3 linked regions of the Astyanax mexicanus genome follow. The protein of the gene in region 2 purifies or fractionates together with the protein of the main gene of each other region. This does not show direct contact. Links are inferred from orthologs where the notes say so. Each region holds a gene or a part of one and is shown on either strand. Other genes may lie near its edges.

Region 1 (7,635 bases), on a different chromosome or scaffold from region 2:
CGCACAAAATAATAGTGACCTATTTTTGTAAAACAGCAAATGTACGTTTTCCACCCATCAAGAAGCAAAGAGCAACATCCTTATGCCTTATTGCCATGCCTTTCAATATTCTTAGGGCTCTCCACCTTCCATGGGCCTCAGCAGAATTTGCATTTGTCTTGCCTGATCTAAAATCTTTTTGTTGGTTTTTCTTTGTCAGAAATGTTACTTTTTGGCTGTTCCTTAGCCTCACGTCTCTCACTGTGTGTATTTTAACATTTTAACGTGAAACACCAACAACAGTAAACTAGTAAACCATAAGGAAACATTCAATTAATTTTACAAAAAAGTATATAAAAATCACATTCTGTGCCTTTAAATCAACCAGGTAAAACAAACCAATTCCCATAAAGGTATGCTAACAGAAATGTTAATCTCCAGTTTAAAAGTTTTCTTAGCTTCCTTCCACAATACTACTGTAATAAAAAGTGTCTAATGTCTGGAACTAGTTTTGTTTTAACTTTGTTTTAAAAATGCTATGCATCCCGTACTCTCCATGCATATACTTCACACACAGAATACATACATCTGTAAGCGGGTCATCTGCATCAAGATTAGCTGCGGGAATCTGATCAAGTCTTGGTCGTTTGGAGGATGAAGATGAGGAAGAGGATGTGGTATGCTCTACAAGGCAAAACAAAAACTCCTGTTACAGTCAGATACAGAGTGTGTGTATATTTTACTTATATTACAATAGTTTACATAGAATGCCGGATTATCAGACTGCATTTTTAAACATCTGTTACACACACACACACACACAAAAACACACATTCTCCCTTACCCCTGGCTCCTCTCTCTCTGCCCTTCACTGCGACTCTTTCTCTCTCCTCCAGCTCACGCCTGAAGTCACGGTTGCGGATCTCCTCAGGAGCATCCTGTGTGGGCTGCCTAAAAGACACAACACACACACACACACACATACTTAAATCGCAATCCATTAAACACAATCAGTGTCTAATACAGCACCTAGACCCAGACAAATCACTGTTTACATGTGTTCACTTTGTTTGGCCATATAATATAAATGAAACATTCACCTGTAACTTAAATTTAAATGTAAGAGAAATAAATAAGTAAAAAGTACAATTACTACCTTAGGTGTGGAATGTATGATGGCACTATGACTATTGGTTTTTACACTGACAGAATGGGGTTACTATTATAGTGAATGATGCACATAACCGGTCACGTGATATGTATTTTTAGGTGGGTTATTGCGGACGAAGATTATTTTTAAGCTAAAATGCTTATCAGCACATAGATCATTCTGAATTTAAAAACCCTTTAAAAATGAGGGCTGTATGTTCAGAACAAAGGAGCTCACCTGTATTTGATTTTGGTATGTCCAGGCAGGTCTCTGCTAGAGTACTGTTTAGAGAGCGCACTCAAATCACCCTCTCCTTTTCCCCGCCCCCCTCTGGCGGGCTCAAACGTTGGCCGCGCTGCTGTGGTCATCCTGGGTCACCTGCAGGAGAACATAAATACACAGATCAAATCAACAACAATACAGACACTACAAGGACAGTACCTGCTTTTCAGCTCTGAATGTTTAATAACAACTGAGATGGAAATAGAGCACCTGTAGGCAGGGCTACTGTACTAGGTTGATGGTCTAGCTTTTTTTATTTAAAAAAATAAAAATAAAAAAACAACAATTACTGGCTGATACCAATATAATTCGACATAATTGCACATCACTTGGTATGGCCAGTATTTCAAACTGATATTTCCTGAAGTATTTATTGCATGCCGGAAAAGGTCAGAGCAACGCTAGTTGCATTACTCTAAAATGAATTGATTTAAGCTCATTTTTATTTATTTTTATTAGTTTTAAATCTATAAAGTCCCAGTTGGGTGTCTAGTCTCTCTGTAAGTTATGAATGTGTATATAAGCACTGGAATATGTAATTGTGTAATATCGGATATCAGCATCAGTCCAGAATTCACCACATTAGTGCATCCCTACAAATGTCAGCATAATCAAAAATATCTGTGTTAAAAAAAAAAATCATCATGTACGCTTTATTTATAGAAGCCCCTTTACATCACCTAAAAGAACTATAAAAACATGCCCTAATATATAATAATATATAATTTCAGCATTATCACACAGTACTCACAATGTGGGAGATGCAATGTCATGTAAGACTAATTAAACCATTCAAGTAAGGTTACTTTTTGCAAAATAGGAAATACCCACTGTTCTGTTACACAGATGGCATTATTAATATATGGATATATTGGACCACTTACTCTGGACAAAAATTGGCAAAAAATAATATATATTGTTTATTTTGCAATATATACTGCAACATTTTTTTCCAATATTGTGAAGCAATAGTATGACACCTTTTTCCCCTACTAAAATCTAATGACTTTAAGATTGCTGTCTAATTTGGACATAACATCACGCTGTGTCCAAATGATGATCTGTTATGAATGTATGTAGGAGGGATCTCCTGTTGTTTACTTCGGGAGTCTTAGATACAGCAATGGTGTGTGAAACTACCGCCACCATGTGTAAAAGTTAGCTCACACGTACACTGTGAACTGTTGACTTGCTTCAGGACGGTTTTTTTTTTGTTACAGATGAACATAACACAGGAGTCACACACACACAAACAAAAATCTGACTAAGCTACATATCTAACCCTAGCTAGGCAACAAAAACAAGCCACGGCCCTCCTCTTAAAATAAGCGAGTCTTCCAGAACATGTTTTACCGCCCTAATGGAACCTGAACTGGTTCACGTAAACTCGCTTTTCACACTTTAATCCACCCAGCCTCCAGTCGAAACACAAACAGTCAACAAAACCGCGTCTTTTTAAAGCAAAGCTCTGAAATTTACCCTCCTACCGCTCACCACAGAAACCTGTAGACTGAGCTGAGTCGCAGCCCGCGTTTCATATTTCTAATCTGTTCATTTTAAACAAATAAATAAATGTAAAAATGTCTCACCGTCGCCTCACGCAGACCTACGATATCCCGGCAGCCCTCGCGGCTTTGCTACGGCAGCCTGCTATGGACAAACGCTCCAGGAAACAAAAGAGTCCAGTGAAATCCCACAGCTAAAGGCCAGGTTTAGCATGCTCACTTAACCCAGGAGAGCCCATGGTGATGTAAATATGTGTTACAGAACCTTTAAAATCTGTGTAAAGTTTCTCACAGCTCTCTCTCCCTCACTTTTTAACTCATTAAGTCCCTAAATGACACATAGTGAACATCCATCACTAAAGGACATAATAGTTTGCACAATTAAGTGATTTAAATTCCATATAAAAATTCAGTGATTTTAAATTCTATATGACTAGTTCTCACCTGATTATGATGTTAAAATACCAGTTATTAGGTTGTTGTTTAAGGCAATAATTATAGAATAAAATCAGGGTTGTTAGCCAGCTGCCACTGTTAGTATACTAACAGGGATTATATGTTCACTCAGAAAATAAAACTGAAATAAAACAAACAGAACAAAACATTAAATCAAGTTTTATAAATCACACAATTATGGAGACACTGAAAGCCCACATGTGTTACATACACATTCACATCAGATTAGATATTACTGACAGTTTTCCTTCTAAGAAACTCTACAGTGAGTTTCTCACACTTGCAAACTACTCTCAAACTAATTTAAAATAAATAGAGCTGTGGGAATTTTTTAAATTATTTTTCTCAATATCATTAATGTAACTATTAATGATTATGATTTATATTATAATCATCTTTATAATCATTATAATATATTATAATCATATTTAATAATTACTATTAAAAATTATTATAATATAAAAAAGTATGTGAACCTTTTGGAATTCCATGGTTTTCAGCAAAAAAATGTCAAAACCAAGCTGCTGAACATCATGGACAATGTTCACCATCCTCTGTACAGCATCATCACCAGGCACGCTGTCCCATGCTGTCCCAGTCCTGCTCCACAAACAGACTTTTGTCTCTCAGGCCATAAGACTGTTCAACTCCTCTCACCACAGCAAACTAAAGACTCTGTGACACTTTTTCATTCCGGCAACTCTGGTCACTCTATGGACACACAACCATCTCTGCAGACACACCCTCTGAGATGCACTATTACATTATTTTTACTGTTTTACCCTATTCTGCACTACTAGTTTATTTATTGTCCACTGGTTACATATTTACACATTTTTATATGTATCATTTTATTGTTTTCTTCTTTTGGAACTTCGGTGTACTGTGTATAACGGCTACTGGATGTACAGAATTTCCCTCTGGGATCAATAAACTAACTATCCATTCATCAATCCATCCATCCATCCATCTAAAAATGTCAAATATATTGATATATATTATATATATCAACGCTCAAAGTGGCATTGGACAGTAAGTGAACCCTAGTAATCACTGGTTGATCCCCACCCCCCTCCAAATCACATAATTCAGAAGGAATTTTAGCCCATTCTTCTTGGCAGAAGTGCTTTAGCTCTGTTATATTCCTTGGATGTGTCAAGTGTCTCTCTCCAAGTCAATCCGTAGCATCTGAAATCTGGGGCTCTGACTCATACCTGTCAAGTCTCCCGTTTTGGCCGGGAAACTACCGTATTTTACTCCTCTTTCCCGCCGTCCTCCCGTATTAGTATTTTCCCGTAAATTTCCCGTATTCTATTAAAATAAAAATATATATATTATTGAGGAGACAGGGCACTGACCGCTCTGTGTCTCTTAACCAATCGTGGAGCCGATTCAAGGAGAAAGCCCGCCTTTCAGGAGAAACAGCCAATCAGCTTGCAAAGGAGGGTCAGTGTGGGGAAGCCCCCTCCGTCGCTGTGAGTTCAGGCAGCTAGTCGGAGCTGCTGATGTTAAAACATATCTGGATATTCAGCGATTTTTCTAAAAGAAAGGTAACGGTAGGCTAATCATGTAAACTGTGATGATATTTTTCTGATAGCTGCTTAGAAATACTCGTCTCCAAAATAAAACACACAGATTAAACCTTTTAAAATAAAAAAATACAGCTTGTGACTCAGTTTAACTAGAAATGTGGAGAGAACCGAAATTAACTGAACTAATCAGGGGTGGAGTGATCAAAAGGAAGAAGTATTAATTAAAATTTATTGTGTAGGCCCCTTAGGACTAATTTTTACTGATGAAACATATCTGGTCCATGTCCTTTTAGTAAAAGCTCATGATACTATTTTTAGGTCACCAACAGTAATTTTGCAGAATTTGTGCACCCTTTGTTCAATTTTAAATCCATTAAATATATAAAAAATATATCATATAAAAGAGTGCATTTATTACAAAAAAGACATGAAATCTTAATTTCTTAAAAAATATATAGAAAAGGGTTTTTAATTTGGCTGTATTAAAAGAATGACATATGTAGGAATGTCCACAACATTTCAGATTCTGATAATCTAATTGTAGTGTGTAAGTGGTTCACTTGTGGTTATTTTAGATTTTTTGTAAACCTGTCTTAAAATGTAAGGGATACTGAACCTTCGTTGGGCTGGTGGGACGGCTTTAAGCGTACAGAGGAAAATATCCCTTATTTTTAAATCTAAAACTTGACAGGTATGCTCTGACTGGGTCACTCCAATAAGCAGATTCTGTTCAGAATTTTTGCTCAAGTGTTTTGGGTGTCTCCTCCCCTAACCCAACACAAACTTCATCCAAACAGTTATACATTTATGTACAAGACATGTAAGTCAATATGACCAATGCAATTGTATGTAATTTATTAATATCATTACGTCATCAGTGTGCGGTTAACAGTTTGTTGTCCATCTCTAGTCTGTCAGGGCAACAAGTTTTTTATCATAATGTTGCTCAGCCCTGTGTCCTTAATGTTCCATATTTCTTCAATTTTTGTACTAATTTTTGCACCAGCAGTTATCTCCCTCTCACCCAGCATACTACTTATGATTTTGTAGCCCATTCCAGCCTCATGCATCTTGTCCCTGACATACTTAGAAACTCTTTGGTCTTGCCCATGTTGTAGAGGTTACAGTCTGAATGATTAATTGAGTCTGTAGACAGAAGTCCTTTATACAGGTGACAATTAAGGACAGCTGTCTTTAATGCAGGTAACGAGTTAATTAGGAGCGTCTAACTGGTCTGTAGGTGCCAAAATTCTTAATGGAATACATGGCTAATATAGTGTGATTTTCTGGATTTTATTTTGACATTCTATCTCTCATTGTTAAAATTAACCTTCCCCTAAATTATACACTCTTCATGTCTTTGTCAGCGGGCAAATATACAAAATCAGAAAGGGATAATTATTTCCCTTACTGTATTTATATATAAAGGTATGAAACCACTGGAAATAGTGTGAAGGTGTGATTATCTCCCATCACATCCTTCAATGCATATAAACATTCTATATTAATGTTCTATTCCTGTATAATATTTACTATGCTTATACTTTTGTTTAGTTTATTCTGGTGTGTATTTAATTCTTATAATCGTTGTAACTACAGTTGTTACTACATTATTAGTTGATGGGTGGGGGTTGGAATGGATGGACTGTTCCCACTGCTTCTGCTGTGTTCTGCTGTAAGGGAATCTATATTTAACAAACAGCTCAATAAAATAAATCTCATTAAGTGCTGGAGCTGAGCGAGTTTAAAGGGGGTTTAGCTTTAACTCACTGACACTGATCTGTTTTACAGGGAGGAAATAAATCTGACAACAACTGACAGTAAATTAGAGACAATCCAGTCTCCAGAGAACCCTTTGTTCTGGTAGATGATATGTGTGTATTAGTCCTAGATAAAGACAAAAATGATGGTTGAGCAGCCAGCAGGTGGCGCAGTTCTGCACCAGCTCTCTTTATAACAGAACTAGGACAGTGAGTCTGCCCTCCCTCAGTTTTAGTATAAAGTATGATTTTCATAATTCGACCGCATCCATCCATCCCTTTTTAAACATACAGGAGCATTTACTATTTTACCATTTAATAGCCATACGAAAATAACAGCTTGGCTCGAGGATGTTTTCATAAATCAGAACTGGAAAATGTGGTATGAACTGCTTATCAACTGTTACCTTTTTAGATTTGAAATATTATTTTATATAAATCTTTGTATTTCACATTTATAAATCATCCCTAAAAAACTCAACAGGATGTGGGGAAAACGGGTTTACTCTGCCTCATTATCTGGGATTCTGCTATGCTTTACTTTTTAGTGTGCAGAATTAAATTTTTCCAATGCTGTGGTCAAAGCTAAACTGCCATTTAATTGGATAAAAGTTTTCTCTGCCTGGCAACAGATATATCTCGGTCTGTTTTAAGTGCAAAACTACACAAGCGAGGTCCAACTGGGTTAAAACATGCGCAGGAATAATATTAGTTAGCCTAAAAATGCTTACTTCCTACCTTTACATCTCCCGACTAATGAACAACTGCAAGCTTCCACTAGGGAACCCGTTCTCCTGAACGGAGCAATACATCATTTGTTACATTTTTCTAAAAAAGAGCAGGACAATCCCATAAATACGCTGGAGTGGGCTATGGAGGCTGGAGTTTAGAAAATTTCGCAGGTTTTCCTCCTCCAACAGACCTGCTAAACCTGGCAATCAGTAAGAGAGTTGAATAAGGTTGGATTGCGC
Region 2 (7,451 bases):
TCTAGAAGTCAAGAAATCTAGAAAATAATTAAAATCTAAAAAGTCTAAAAATATTTTACTATAAATCTTACACAGCAAAATCAATAATCAATGCTTAGTCTAAATCTGGGAAGCAAGTTGTCGTCAAGTGCTTGAAGGGTTAACCACCAACACAGTGATATAGAGCAGGATTATGTATAGACACTGCATACTCCTCAGCATGGACATGGATGGGAGTATGAAAGGGAACAGCTGTGTGACATTTACCGTCTGCAAAGGGGTCATGGCGCTCAGGAGAGATGATCATCTTTTGTCTGCGTTTCTTGTACTCATCTTCACGGTCCGAAATCTTCTGCGGTCTGTGCTCAGCAAAAGGATCATACTGCAAAAAAAGGAGAGAAAAAACAAGTTAAAGATAATTAAACTCACCTAATGTTGCATATTTTAAAACATCTATAAATAGGAAGTGTAACAAAGAGTTGCATTAAATTACCTGCTCATCTGACTGAGGAATGGCATTGAGTATTGCCACTGGAGCATTGTACCCCGGCTTCTTCTGCCCAAGTAAACTCGTGGAAGAGTCCTCTTCATCATCCTTAAGAAAAAATAAAAATGTTGGTAAGATACAGTCTGTAAAGGTTTTGTCATATTTTAAGCACATATGATTTAGAAAATGTATGTGTTGCTTCTCCATGACTCATCTTATAAGCATATCAAATTAACTATTTGTACAACTTACTTCCTCCTGCTCGTTTGCTGCAATAGAGGTGACATATCCGGCAAAGCGGCTGTCGCTGCCTCCGTAAATCTCCTGGTCGTAATATCCAGTGGAATCAAGGCCGACACCCTGCTCTCCTTCCTCCAGCAGAGCTGCCTTCATCCCCTGGATTTCCAGGATCTGCGCCTCAATGTCTGAAAATAGAAAACAGGGAAATACCGTATGTTGAAAACATGACATCTGTTCAGACCCACACACCAGAAATGTACACAGGTATACACAGTAGGGCATGCAATTAATCTGGACACCAAGAGTGCACATACACAGCATTAAAGCATTAAAACTAATCAGATAGTTTTCAAAACAGTCCATGATTTGAACTTTATTAATTATGTCTGATCACAGAATATTACAGCAACACAATCTTTTTAAGCAATTGACAACTAAAATAAATGTAACTTAGTTTTGCTAATATTGTATTCATTCTCTTATTTACATTTACATATACACTATTAAAAGCTTAATCTTAAGAACACTACATGATCAACCATGATTAAATCACAAAAGACTGTAGTGATTTATTCAATATTTCTTTTAATCAAGTGACACCTCTAATAACCAACTTCAAACTTCAAAACAAAAAACATATTAATCATATAATTTATACGTCTTTGCTTCTTTTATGTGTATTTTGTGTTTTTTTTCTGTATTTGCTGCTTGTCTTGTTTGCTTCTGCTTATTTTGTTTTTGCTTTTTTTGTCACTTCACCACATGATCAACCATGATTAAATCACAAAAGACTGTAGTGATTTATTCAATATTTCTTTTAATCAAGTGACACCTCTAACAACCAGCCTGTTATTTACTAGGGGTACAGAATACAGTCAAAATTTATACCAACCTATTTTATGTATGAAATGAATATATGTTAATTTTGGTCAATACGATATAATACTAATATAACTAATAAACCAATAAAAAACATTTTTAGCAATGTAAAACTCAAAACCTGTGGCGTATGTCAATCACCCACCTGGTTAATATAATAAAAATATTATTTTCCGCACACACGTTTTTGTGACAAGCAGACAAAATGAAGCAGTATTAGCAGACTCTGCCGGTTGAAGACTTTTATATTTTATATGGACATTTTTATTGTATAAACCATCGCGAAACAGTGTTCTAGATCACGTTAAAATTGTAAGAATTAGCTGTTATATAGCCTCAATGGCTCTAGAACTTGTTTTTCCAGTGCAGTAGGCGGGGCCAAAGGTTTCATGTGTTTATAAACGTATTCAATAGCTGGTTCATGAACTATTCTGAAGGACAAGAGCTCTTGAATAGTGTTATGTGCAACAAAACATTTTGAAAAATAAAGAAAATTAAGTTACATGGTGTTTATTGTAGCTTAACGGATGCAGGGTCTGAGAGGATTACGTTAATACTTAGGAAATCGTGTTCTTATTGCAATGCCATTAAGCTACAAATTATTCGACGTTAGCTATTTAGGTAACGTTACTAACATGTTTGATACCAACCAATATAGCCATAATATAAAAAGAAAATATATATATAACCCAAAGAAACCACTAATAATGTAGTCAAACCGCTGAATGACTTCAGACATGCTGCCCATGTTTTGTTAGCATCTTAGCTAGTCAAAAGTAGTTAGCTTAGCTAACTAATCTGCACCAACGGGCTACGTACTAAACTATCTAACTCGCTAATTTTCTTGTTACTAATTAAGTGAGCCTTCTGCTAACGCTATTTTGAGCCACACAAAATATAAAGCTTACACTAAATCAGTATTAAACCGCTAAAACGAAGGGAATCACGCTGTATTTTGTGTAATGGGAGCAGTTAGCTTTAGCTGGGTTAGCTCACAGAGCGCCATTTTGAGCAGGGCCACTAACAGGCCGCGCACAGCAGCGCTGGATCCTGCGTGAGGGTTCTGTTTTTAATCACCACAGGCTGTCCGACTATAATTTCCCTCAAATAATGCTAAGGTATTCTTTTACACATTTTTCCGCATGTATAAAAAGATACAGAGCGAGTCTACAATGATTTAAACCGCCTGTATCTGCGGTTCATTGGCGGCTTTAGTTAATAAAGCGCTCAGTCGCCATGTTCTCTTCTGCGCCTCGTTCGCACTACGATGGTTCACTTCGCAGCAGCAGCAGCAGCTAATTTCTCCAGTCATGCCACGAGAACCAGCCAGCAAACCGTTAAGAAAACGTATATGTAGCCTGTTCACACCGCCTGTACTGAATATATGTAATATACGCGCTTACCTTCATGTGTTTTGGCGATCTTCGCCATCGTTGCGTCTGTGTGAAAGCGCCCGGAAGGCCTCACTACTCAGACTATGCTCAGCGGCGCATGCGCAGTACCCACAATGGGCGTAGACATAAACACGCTCAGAGGCAGAATCACTTACAGAAGCTTTTATTTTAAATTAATTTAACTTATTTGGGCAGTTAATGTACAGAGGTACTTTTTGTATACACCTTAAACAAAATTGAGACATTAAATACATTAAAAAACGTATATACATATACCTCCTGGTAGTTATATACAGTGGGGGAAATAAGTATAAAATATAGCCGCAAGCGGCAATCATCGGGTTCAAGCACCAACTGGCACAATGGTGCATACTAGAGAACTGAATGGTGATGTGTAAAAAGGGCTAATATGATTGGAGATGCCCTGTCACATTTAGAGATTATTAAAAAATTTTCACCTGTTATTAATGTTGAGCAGAAGCCTTTCAACGTGATCAGTGCTTAAATTGTAAATTGTAATTGTAATGTCAATCTAGTGAAGTTTGTAGGATATTCATCAAGTGAGTTAGATCTAGTCAAAATGTGTCTACATGTTATTGGTATTGATCAGGTGGTTTCAACCAGAATGTTTACAAAGTGGTGTTCAGATTGACCTTTTGACCTTTGCAAAACAAGCTGAAATGTTTTACCAAACAAGTTTACATTAACACAAATGAGTTCATTGTCTGACATGACATGTAATTACAAAGTTATTCTAAATCTAGTTCTGAATTAAATGGCGCTTCATCAAACAGCAACTGGCACAATGGTGCCTACTAGAGCATAGGATGGTGATGTGTAAGAAGGTGTAACACAATTGGAGACACTCTGTCACATTGAGAAATTATCAAGTCTTTCACCTGTTATTAATGTTGAGAAGAGGCACAAAGGAGTGCATGTTCTGATATGACATGTAATTACAAATATATTCTAAATCTAGTTCTGTATTAAATGGCGCTTCATCAGAGTGATATTGTACAGAGGTCTTTGACATTGTGAGATTACAGCAAATACTGCAGAGTTACAGCAATTTAGGTTGAAAATTTCAAGGACGCTCAGACTGCTTGATGCCTGGACACTATTGTATGTGAAATTTTCACAAATGTTTTTATTGAATCTTAACCTAGAGACTCTACAGTGTGCAACAAGTCTGAAATGGCGGTGATAGGCCAAATATCCAGAGACTAGTATCAATATTGCTATTTTCAAACAATTAGCAGTTCTGAATAAACAAAGCACTTTTTAAACATAGTTGTATTGACAAATTTGTCAGAGCCACTGTACTAAATATGGCACAAACATTTAGATGTCAAAATAGTATAGTATGATTGACATGTATTCGATTTGTTGGAACAGCGCCCCCCAGTGGTCGGATTGTTTCAGCAATTTGCAGGTCACTACAGCGTCTCCACCTGAACATAACTGCCAAGTGTCATCCAGATTGGGCAACATTCAGCCTGCCAAAATGTCTGCTGAATGCTGATTGGCTGATGGTGTTCAGCCATGTTGATTGATTAAGTTGCCCTTTGAACATCCTTTAGAGGCTGTATGACAGATTCTGCATGCAAAGTTTCAGCTTGCTAGGTTGCACGGTTGCTGAGAAACAGTGTTCCAAATTTAACAATTGAAGTGAATGGGGCATATATCCGGAAGGACTAATTTGCATATGGTGGCCATATTGTTTACAAATTTCAACTTTTTCTTAATGAATATTGAAGGCCATGCTCTCACGAGTGTTTTGATACCAAACATGCCAGGATTGATCAAAATTCCTAGGACTAGTTCGCAAAAGTATGTTTTGCATATTATGCAAATTAGCAAAAAATCTATATAGACGGAAGTGCATGGTCCAAATTGGAAAGTTGTAGGTATTGACCCAAGGAATCCATCAAACAAAGAATTTTGAATGTAGGTCTTATGGTTTTTGAGTTATTGAGAAAATTGTGAAAAATGAATTTCCTTGTTTATAGCGCCACCACTTGACCAATCGGTGCCATTTTTGTTGTCCACCGAGATGCACTGATCCTACATCTACCTACCAAGTTTCATTTCTCTATGACTTACGGTTTAGGCTGCACAACTGTTTTTACAGGAGAAAAAGAATAATAATAATAAGAAGAAATATAGCCGCAAGCGGCAATCATCGGGTTCAAGCACCAACTTGCACAATGGTGCCTACTGGAGCATTGAATGGTGATGTGTAAGAAGGTCTAATATGATTGGAGATGCCCTGTCACATTTAGAAATTATCAAGTTTTTCACCTGTTATTAATGTTGAGCAGAGGCCTTTCAACCTGATCAGTGCTTAAATTCACATGTAAATCTAGTGAACTTTGTAGGATATTCATTAAGTGAGTTAGAACTAGTCAAAAGGTGTCTACATGTTATTGGTATTGATCAGGTGGCTTCAACCAGAATGTTCACAAAGTGGTATTCAGATTGACCTTTGAACCTTTGCAGAACAAGCTGAAATGTTTGACCAAACAAGTTTAAATTAACACAAAGGAGTGAATGTTCTGATATGACATGTAATTACGAAGTTATTATAAATCTAGTTCTGAATTAAATGGCGCTTCATCAAGCACCAACTAGCACAATGGTGCCTACTAGAGCATAGGATGGTGATGTGTAAGAAGGTCTAACACAATTGGAGACATTCTGTCACATTTAAAATGATCAAAAGTCTTTCACCTGTTATTAATGTTGAGAAGAGGCACAAAGGAGTGAATGTTCTGATATGACATGTAATGTCAAGTTATTCTTAATCTAGTTCTGTATTAAATGGTGCTTCATCAAAGTGATATTGTACAGAGGTCTTTAACATTGTGAGATTACAGCAAATACTGCAGAGTTACAGCAATTTAGGTTAGAAATTCCAAGGACGCACAGATTGCTTGATGCCTGGAGAGTATTGTATGTGAAATTTTCACAAATGTTTTTAATGAACATTTACCTAGAGACTCTACAGTGTGCAGCAAGACTGAAATGGAGGTGATAGGCCAAATATCCAGAGAGTAGTTTCAATATAGCTATTTTCAAACAATTAGCAATTATGAATGAACAAAGCACTTTTTAAACATAGTTGTATTGAGAAATTTGTCAGACCCACTGTACTAAATATGGCAAAAACAATTAGATGTCAAAATAGTACAGCATGATTGACATATACTCGTTTTTTTGGAACAGCGCCCCCCAGTGGGCGGATTGTTTCAGCACTTTGCAGGTCACTACAGTGTCTCCACCTGAACATAACTGCCAAATATCATCCAGATTGGGCAACGTTCAGCCTGCCAAAATGTCTGCTGAATGCTGATTGGCTGATGGTGTTCAGCCATGTTGATTGATTAAGTTGCCCTTTGAACATCCTTTAGAGGCTGTATGTTAGATTCTGCATGCAAAGTTTCAACTTGCTAGGTTGCACGGTTGCTGAGAAACAGTGCTCCAAATTTACCTCTTGAAGTGAATGGGGCATATATCCGGAAGGACTAATTTGCATATGGCGGCCATATTGTTTACATATTTCAACTTTTTCTTAATGAATATTGAAGCGCATGCTCTCACGAGTGTTTTGATACCAAACATGCCAGGATTGGTCAAAAATCCTAGGACTAGTTTGCAAAAGTAGGTTTTGCATATTATGCAAATTAGCACAAAATCTATATAGACGGAAGTGCATGGTCCAAATTGGAAAGTTGTTGGTATTGACCCAAGGAATCCAGCAAAAAAAGAATTTTGAATGTAGGTCTTATGGTTTTTGAGTTATTGAGAAAATTGTGAAAAATGAATTTCCTTGTTTATAGCGCCACCACTTGACCAATCGGTGCCATTTTTGTTGTCCACCGAGATGCACTGATCCTACATCTACCTACCAAGTTTCATTTCTCTATGACTTACGGTTTAGGCTGCACAACTGTTTTTACAGGAGAAAAAGAATAATAATAATAATAATAATAATAATAATAATAATAAGAAAAATCTTAGCAAAAACAATAGGGTTCTACGCACCTTCGGTGCTTGAACCCTAAAAATCTTAGCAATAACAATAGGGTTCTACGCACCTTCGGTGCTTGAACCCTAAAAAGTGTAGTTGGCAACTTCAAAACAAAAAACATATTAATCATATAATTTATACGTCTTTGCTTCTTTTATGTGTATTTTGTGTTTTTTTCTGTATTTACTGCTTGTCTTGTTTGCTTCTGCTTATTTTGTTTTTGCTTATTTTGTTTTTGCTTTTTTTGTCACTTTAATAAGTGACAAAATCAGATTTCAATCAGATTTCAACTGGGGCCATTGCTTCTGCTGTCTGAGATGGATTAAATGTTGGCTAATCAGGCCCCTAGTCGTTTATTAATTGAATGTTGTATAAAAATGCTGCCTGCTAAGGTGCTTTTATCTTGCAGATTTGTGAAAGCAACGTAGATGTATACTTTGCA
Region 3 (7,492 bases), on a different chromosome or scaffold from region 2:
AGCTCACCTAAATCCACTTGTTTTAATTAAGTCTTCAGTCATTCAAAAACTGATTACACATGCTTCTGCTTTACTGAAATGAAACCCTGCATCCATATGGACCTTTTGCAGAAAAGATTGGCCACTCCTGTTTTTCTTCTGAATGTGTAGACCATGCAGCTTGTAATTAGCTAATCACTGAAAGCAATGCATTGCATGAAGATACCTAAAACCTTTGGTCTGTTATCTAGTAATCACTTTTGTTTAATTGTTTTCTGTTGCTTATATTTATTGAGAAATTTAGTTTTAAAAAGTTCTGGAATAATGCCATGTACTAAATAAATAAAATAAATGTTTTTGTAAATGCTCTGTGTCTTGTATAAATTGTTTCTTTTGTTTATGCAAACTAGCACGTTTTTAATAGTAAGATCAACATTTGCTTAGTTGGGGAACATGACATGAAATTAATTTAGTCAGACCATCACATCAGCACAATTGCAATTTGCTTTCCTTGGCGAGTCACCGACCGATGCAACAATCCCAGGAACTTTAACTATTAATGCTAAATGTTGGTACAGGACAATAATGTCTCCCACATATTTTTCAAAGAGTCATCATGGTTATTTACTGTTATTATTATTATTGTAATATGGAGTGATCTGGAAAAAAGAGTTTAGTCTGCTGTTTTGATTGTTTTGCTGTTGTCGTCTATAAAGCAGAACTGGTTGTTTGACCACTGATTGGCCACTGATTGGCCAAGACTTTATCTGTAGAAACTGTCTATTTTTTTTGTATCCCTATGCTGGTTCAAAAGACCTGGACCAAACCATTTGATGGGGACAGGAACACTCATAACAATTTTTCATACACTTGTATATATTTAAATTTAAAATGTAGACAGAACAAAGAAAAAAATAAAACAGAATACACTGAAATTGCAAATTTAAGTATATAATGTTAAATTACTTTGTGCCTCCCTCTAACCTGGACCAACCCATTTGGTCCACAATGGGCATGCTCCAATTTATCCAGGGACTATAAAGTCAGCTGATAACTTGAAAACTCATTTGTTTCTGTAGCTGAAATGCTGGCGCTGGAGTACATATGTATGGAGTAGGTAAATGAAGTGAAAATATTAATTTGACAAACCAACCTTGGGTGGAGAAGAGTAGACTTGCATTTAAGTTAGCCTGTAACTGTGAGAGAGGTTAGCATCTAGCTTTAGCTTAGCAGCTAAAGCACATTCAAATAAATAATACAAACACTGGTTAAACAATTCCTTGTTAAAGCTGAATTATAGTTAAGCTTTTTCTCATGAGTTTAAATACATTCTACAAAGTGTCTTCTTTAAAATGACTTATATTTTTAAAGTACATAAACCTGCTGTTTGATATATTTTACAACTAACTGAACATATTTTGCAGCTAAGACCTTTCAGTGGATGTCTGTTCTTTGGAAAGTGTTTTCAAGGTTTCTTTGTGTTGGGAATCATTTTCAGTTTCAATTGTAACTCACTATCCAGAGGCTGGGTTGGTTTCTTGGGTTGATTTGTGATCCTTAATCCTAACAGCATGACTTTAAACAGTGTATTTTTTTTATCTTTCTTTAAAATTAATTAAATTAAGTTTATGCCTTAAAACAGTAAAATGAATCTTTAGGAAAGTTTTTCTGCCTAATTTTTCCCATGCACTCAGTCAGCTCCACAAGACCCAGAATTATTTCCATTATTGTTTGCTCATGTAGTTTGCTCTCCGGAAGCACCACTGTCGGAATTACTGAGATCCTACCACAACCTACAAAACCTTTAGCCAAACCACACCTTGGCGATTTCATTCACCCAATGAAGATGCCTGCAGCTGTTTGCCTCTAATCTAGTAATCACTTTGGTTTTATGTTAAATGATTGAATGTATTAAAGACAATAAAAACTAAGTTTGATGTGTCTTGTATAACTTTTTCTTATGCTTACTGTTCACTGTTTAAGTTCACTGTTGGGAAAACTGTTTAAGAATTGATTGAACCCTTCTATATATTAAAAAAGAGGTATGTATATACAGGAAATAAGAACCACTGGTCAATGTACTGTTGAATAAGCTGCAAAATGTAAATAAAATGGTGTATAACAGTTATCTTTGGAAGAATAATTTAAGTTGCTATGTGTAGTTAGTGAAAACACACTGAGCAATATAAAGCTCAAACACAAGGCTGTTTGTCCTCCTGCTCTGTAGAGAAAAGTGCAGATTTTGCCACTGCAGTATCAGTCTATTCTACAAGTTAGGGAAGGCAATTTACTGCACTAATTTTTTTTAGTTTTGAGGCCAACTCAAAGAAAAGACACAGTTGTGCCAACTAAAAATCATTAGTTCAGATAATTGATTTTTATATGCATAAAGCTTTAGAAATTAAGTCTCACCAACTTATAAATTCACTTTGTATCCTTTCCTTTAAGATCCTGTTTCACATAAATCAAACTCATATAAAGAGCACAACATAAGTTAGCAACTAAGAATGTATGACTGTTATGTCTTATTATCAGTCATATTAAAATTGCAAAACACAGTGGCTTGCTCTTATAGACTTTAACGCTAAGGCCAGGCAGTTAACTATTATGTAACACATGCGAATCCCAAGAGAAGGCAGCCTGTGAAGAATGACTACTCACCGATAGTGAGTGAGAGGTAAAAGAACACACCCAATATGCAAATAGCTTGACCAGCATCAGATTAAAAACCCCTGCATAATAAATAGTTTAAACCGAGGCTTCTGCTAAGCATCTTTCATTAAATGAGTTGTCTACCACTTTGTTTGATTAAAATGCTGACACTAATTCTGGTTGTCACATTGTGTCCTACATCATATTATCCCATAAGGGCGTTTTAATACCCAGTAGATACATTTCATATTGTTCCCCCAAAAAATAGGCCAGTACATCACAGGTACTAAATGTGAATCTACAAACATTGATCAAGGTTTAAACTCAGATCATTCCCTGTGGTGATTTACCAATGACCCTGGAATTTTTGTATGGGACGTTGGCTCATTATGACTCGAGTAAAAGTGCCTTTCAAAAAAAAACTCTCTAGGAGCATGGACTCTTTATGTACAATATTTTTTCCATTGCTAATGCATTCGTCTCCAACATCAGAATTGATTTATTTGTGCACATCAATTTTACATTGATTTAACGTTAATTCAAAATTATGGTTTTAGATGTATGTTTTTATTAAACTTAAATTAAAGATGTACATTAGACTCAAGAAGTGTATATGTGTTACATACAGAGTGATCCTTTTTAAGTGTTGATTTCTTTTATTGTTAATTTGAAATCGGTGTCTCAGAAAACTAGAATAGTATATTAGACCAATTAGTACTTTTGGCAGTGTGGCAGTGTGCCACTCTGCTGGAAAATGAAATCTGCATCAGGAAAGAATGAAGTGCTATAAGATTTTCTGGGGAAAAAACTGCACTGATTTTTGGACTATATAATACAGTGGACCAACACAAGCAGATGACATGGCTGTCAAAAAAGCAACTTTTCAATTTCAACTTTTCATTTTTAAGATGCACTAGTATTTATAGTTTTTGGATTCTGTTATTGTAGACTGTACTGTGGTCTTTCAGTGTATAAAGTGACATAATACTAATAATTAGTAATATTAAAATTATGATTTGTGGGAATTTGTTAAATGTTAAATAAGGGTTGTTTAAAGATTGTTTTTCTATCATTACTTTAACAGAAGTAATGCAACCAAAATCTTTTTAAAAAATTAACGTTTGGAACCCCAAATCCAGAAGCTCACAATGCTTTTAGATTTATACACCAACCACTGCCTAAGAAAGTCTAGAAGGATCACGAAGGACCCCTCCCACCCATTCTCACAGCTTCTTCCCCCAGGCGACCAGGCTGTGGAACAGTGTTTTGCCCAACTTGCCACTGCCATCTTATACAAACTTTTTGACCCTGAACTTTACTTCACTTTACATCACATTGCATCTTTCTAACTTTCCCATACTTATCCTATTATACAGCATTCTCCACCCTGTACTTCCCAATCAACTCATTCTGTACCTGCACTTTAGTCATAATTACTCTGTCACATACTATCTCTGCACTTTCACATACACACTCAGATATCAGCACATGTATATATCAGTGTATACTTGTATATCCATTCATATTAACGTATATCTACACTGCAAATAAATACTTAGTAAATATTTCAAGTAAATCTTGTTCTTTACATGCTAATAGGAACCTGCACACAAGTTTTTTTTACTCACCTGTATTCTGTGACGTGACAATAAATACTGTATTTTGAATCTTGAATCTTGAATCAGGGATCCTTCAGGGCACAGAGCTGGAATATAGAGCCTCCTCGCCTGCAGGCGGCAGTGAGCGTTAGGTTTGACTCGGAAGAAGTTTGGGACGGTTTATCAGAACGCCTGCAGAACGATTGGATGGTGGCTGGTGTTTATTTGGGCCTCGCTGGTTTAGTGAGCGCTCCTTTTCGCGTGTTTACAGGACTTTAGGTGTTTAAAGAGTGTGATAAATATGTTGTACAGGCGGTAGAGTATAGCTAGCCGCTCTGTTTATGTTCTATTTAGCGTTAATATACACAAACCGTGCTGGGAGGGAGTGTATCTATGTTAGCTAGGTTAGCTTGCTAGCTAGCGTTAGCTATGTTGTTAGCAGGCTAGCTAGCTAAGCGTGTTATTTTTGGTGTCGTTTTAATACTTTCTAACCCAAGTCTAACTAGTACCTGTTAGTTATTTGCGTTGTTTGCTTTAGTGTCGGGTCTTTAAACAGGTTTGTTTACGCATAGGTTAGCTAATTAACACAGTTAGATAACCTAGCTAATTAGGTTATCTAGCTAACTAACTAATACTCTCAGATATGGGCTCATCTAAGAAACACAAGGAGAAGGATAAGGAGCGGGACGCAGAGGACCGACACCGAGAACACAAGAAACACAGACATAAGGACAGAGAACGGGACAAGGAGAGAGATGGAACTCGAGAAAAGGAGGAGAAGAAAAGGAAAAGGTCCCGCTCCAGAGAGAGAAGCAGCCGGGGAGAGAAGGAGAGCCGCAGTAAAGGAGAGAAGAGCAGTGGAGAGACTCGTGTAAAGAAGGAGAAACTTGATCCAGCTTTTGAAGAGGCTGAAGGTGAGCTGGTGACCTGTTTACTGCCACTGACTGTTGGTTAGTGTTAGAAGAATTTAGATTTCTGTCCAATATTGGCCAAAATCCAAAAATCAACAACTTATCAAACAGTAATCAAGAAATTGGCATTACCATTGATTGATTTAAAGTTTCACACACTTTTTAGGACAGGTCAGCACTGCCAGAAGGCTCATCCAGTACATGTTTTTTATGTAGGGGTTGTTCTTGGTAATGTGACATTTAATTAAAAAATACTCAATATACTAGTTCATAAAAATAAATATTTAGTCTTATTAGTCCTAATTGAGATTTTCACCAGATTTGAACAGAAATCAATGATCCAACATGATACTATTAATACTAGTAATGCACCCCATATATCCAGGACTGGAGTAAAAAAAAATGCTGGACAGATACATATAATCTGTCTCTATTAAATATTTAATAGGAAATGAGAACAGTGGGAATTTTCCTTTTGCTACAAACAGCAAAACAATTGCCCCTGATGGCCCTAAAATAAAATCCCAATATTTCTAGTTTTTTTTGTGATTAAAATGTTTTAAAAAGACAGTTGAGCGCAGAGAAGGCAATGGCATTTCTGGACATGGTTAACATAGGATTTTATTTTCTACACTAACGTTTTAGGTGCCATTGTAAATGCAATTCTGCAATGTAGTGTGGTTAAAGTGATTCCTTACCCCTGTGGTTCTGGGCTTTCACTTCTGTCTGTTAGGCCAGGTAATTCTTGATGATTAAAAGACTAACTTTTCATGGATCCTTTGTTGGAAATGAATCGTTACAGTGACTTGTGAGCATCACCAGTTTATATGTTTGTAGTCCAGCATTACTGTTTTGTAAGTTAGTAAGTGTTTTAAACAAAGTTTCATTAAAATGTGATTTTGTTAATACATTAAAATATGTGTAGTGATGCACCCATTTTTTATAGTGCCTGTACCTGATTTAAACTTTTTTTTTTTGTCTGTTCCTTTGCAGATATGGCTCCAAAGTCTGCGGGTGGAGATGCTTCACTCAGCATTGAAGAGACCAAGTATGCTAATAAAGTGCTTTGCAGACTGTCTATCAAGGTTTTGCATCAGAATTGATTTTGGAACTTATCCAACCAATTCTTGTTTTCCCTTTTCAGTAAATTGAGGGCCAAACTTGGTCTGAAGCCTCTTGAGCTAAATGAGAATAAAAAAGGTGAGAAATCGGTGTCTAACAGGACTTATGCTACCAAATATTCTTTCTCTTCTTTTTTTCTCATGTTAAATATTTCTGATTGCAGAACTGGGCACAAAAGAAGAGCCCCTGCTAGCTGAGACTATCAACCCTGTACAGATCAAACAGCAGGCAGAGATTAGGGAGAAACTGGCTGCACTCAAACAGAAGCGTCTGCTTAATCAGAAACTTGGGTACAATCCTCATTATGCTTTTTCATTTATACACCATAGGACTGTACTTCTATAGAGTTTTTGTCTCTTGAAGCCTTGTGTATCATTACTCAAATTGACCTTAATCATTGTCTCCCATTTTAGCAAGGTTAAGACACTTGGAGAGGATGAACCTTGGTTGGATGATACTGCTGCCTGGGTGGAAAGAAGTCGCAAACAGGCTAAGGAAAAGGAGTTGGCAGAAAAGAGAGTAAGTAGTAGACAGGGTTCTACAGCTTCTGCAGAATCGTTTCATTCGTGTCTTCTTTGTTGAGGCAAACGCACAGCAAAAAATGTACTGGTGATATACACGTTGTGGTTTTTATTGTAATATTATGTCTTTGTTTAATATATTTTTGTTTTTATTGTAATGAGCATATGATTTTCATAGGCCAAACTTCTTGAAGAAATGGATGAAGAGTTTGGTGTGAGTAACCTTGTGGAACAGGAGTTCGCTCAGACTAAGAAGGTAGACTTCATACACTTTCCGCAGTGGTTAATCATATATCAAACAGAAACTTTAAATGTTATATAATACATTTTCTGATTACTAAAAGTCTTTTTTTTTTGTAGGACGCTTACAGTTCTAGAGACCTTAAAGGTCTCTCAGTACAGCACAAAATGGAATCCTTTAAAGAGGGGGAGACTGTAATTTTGACACTGCAAGACAAAGGTTTGTGCTCTGTTGGCTTTTCAGCAATGCATCTGCTTTACCTGCACCTGTGGCTTGCTCACTGTATGTTCTTGTTGCAGGTGTTTTGGATGAAAATGAAGATGTGCTGGTGAATGTGGGTCTGGTGGACAAAGAGAAAGCTGAGAAGAATGTGGAGCTTAAGAAAAAGAAGCCTGAGTACAAACCTTATGACGAAGAGGAGAGCGTGGATGACATGGTCACGGTGAGCACACATATTGATGTGACTGT

Evidence for each region.
Region 1: the proteins of sf3b1 (region 2) and cwc15 purify together in Homo sapiens (co-immunoprecipitation; 3 studies listed by BioGRID and IntAct, with this or other methods). This does not show direct contact. The link is inferred for Astyanax mexicanus from reciprocal best matches to the Homo sapiens genes SF3B1 and CWC15.
Region 3: the proteins of sf3b1 (region 2) and sart1 purify together in Homo sapiens (co-immunoprecipitation; 4 studies listed by BioGRID and IntAct, with this or other methods). This does not show direct contact. The link is inferred for Astyanax mexicanus from reciprocal best matches to the Homo sapiens genes SF3B1 and SART1.

What each region holds. Positions count from the first base shown.
Region 1 is NC_064408.1:38,128,954-38,136,588, forward strand, and holds the start of cwc15 (protein CWC15 homolog), read right to left. Parts: upstream 3,099-7,635; 5' UTR 3,001-3,098; intron 2,910-3,000; exon of another isoform or gene 2,891-2,909; intron 1,508-2,890; 5' UTR 1,498-1,507; coding exon 1,367-1,497; intron 931-1,366; coding exon 824-930; intron 664-823; coding exon 566-663; intron 1-565. UniProt on the Homo sapiens protein: Involved in pre-mRNA splicing as component of the spliceosome. Component of the PRP19-CDC5L complex that forms an integral part of the spliceosome and is required for activating pre-mRNA splicing.
Region 2 is NC_064418.1:3,449,652-3,457,102, reverse strand, and holds the start of sf3b1 (splicing factor 3B subunit 1), read right to left. Parts: upstream 3,094-7,451; 5' UTR 3,017-3,093; coding exon 2,989-3,016; intron 892-2,988; coding exon 719-891; intron 575-718; coding exon 473-574; intron 362-472; coding exon 247-361; intron 98-246; exon of another isoform or gene 1-97. UniProt on the Homo sapiens protein: Component of the 17S U2 SnRNP complex of the spliceosome, a large ribonucleoprotein complex that removes introns from transcribed pre-mRNAs.
Region 3 is NC_064424.1:16,325,487-16,332,978, forward strand, and holds the start of sart1 (U4/U6.U5 tri-snRNP-associated protein 1), read left to right. Parts: upstream 1-4,394; 5' UTR 4,395-4,872; coding exon 4,873-5,143; intron 5,144-6,133; coding exon 6,134-6,188; intron 6,189-6,284; coding exon 6,285-6,340; intron 6,341-6,425; coding exon 6,426-6,552; intron 6,553-6,675; coding exon 6,676-6,781; intron 6,782-6,961; coding exon 6,962-7,039; intron 7,040-7,143; coding exon 7,144-7,243; intron 7,244-7,323; coding exon 7,324-7,466; intron 7,467-7,492. UniProt on the Homo sapiens protein: Plays a role in mRNA splicing as a component of the U4/U6-U5 tri-snRNP, one of the building blocks of the spliceosome. May also bind to DNA.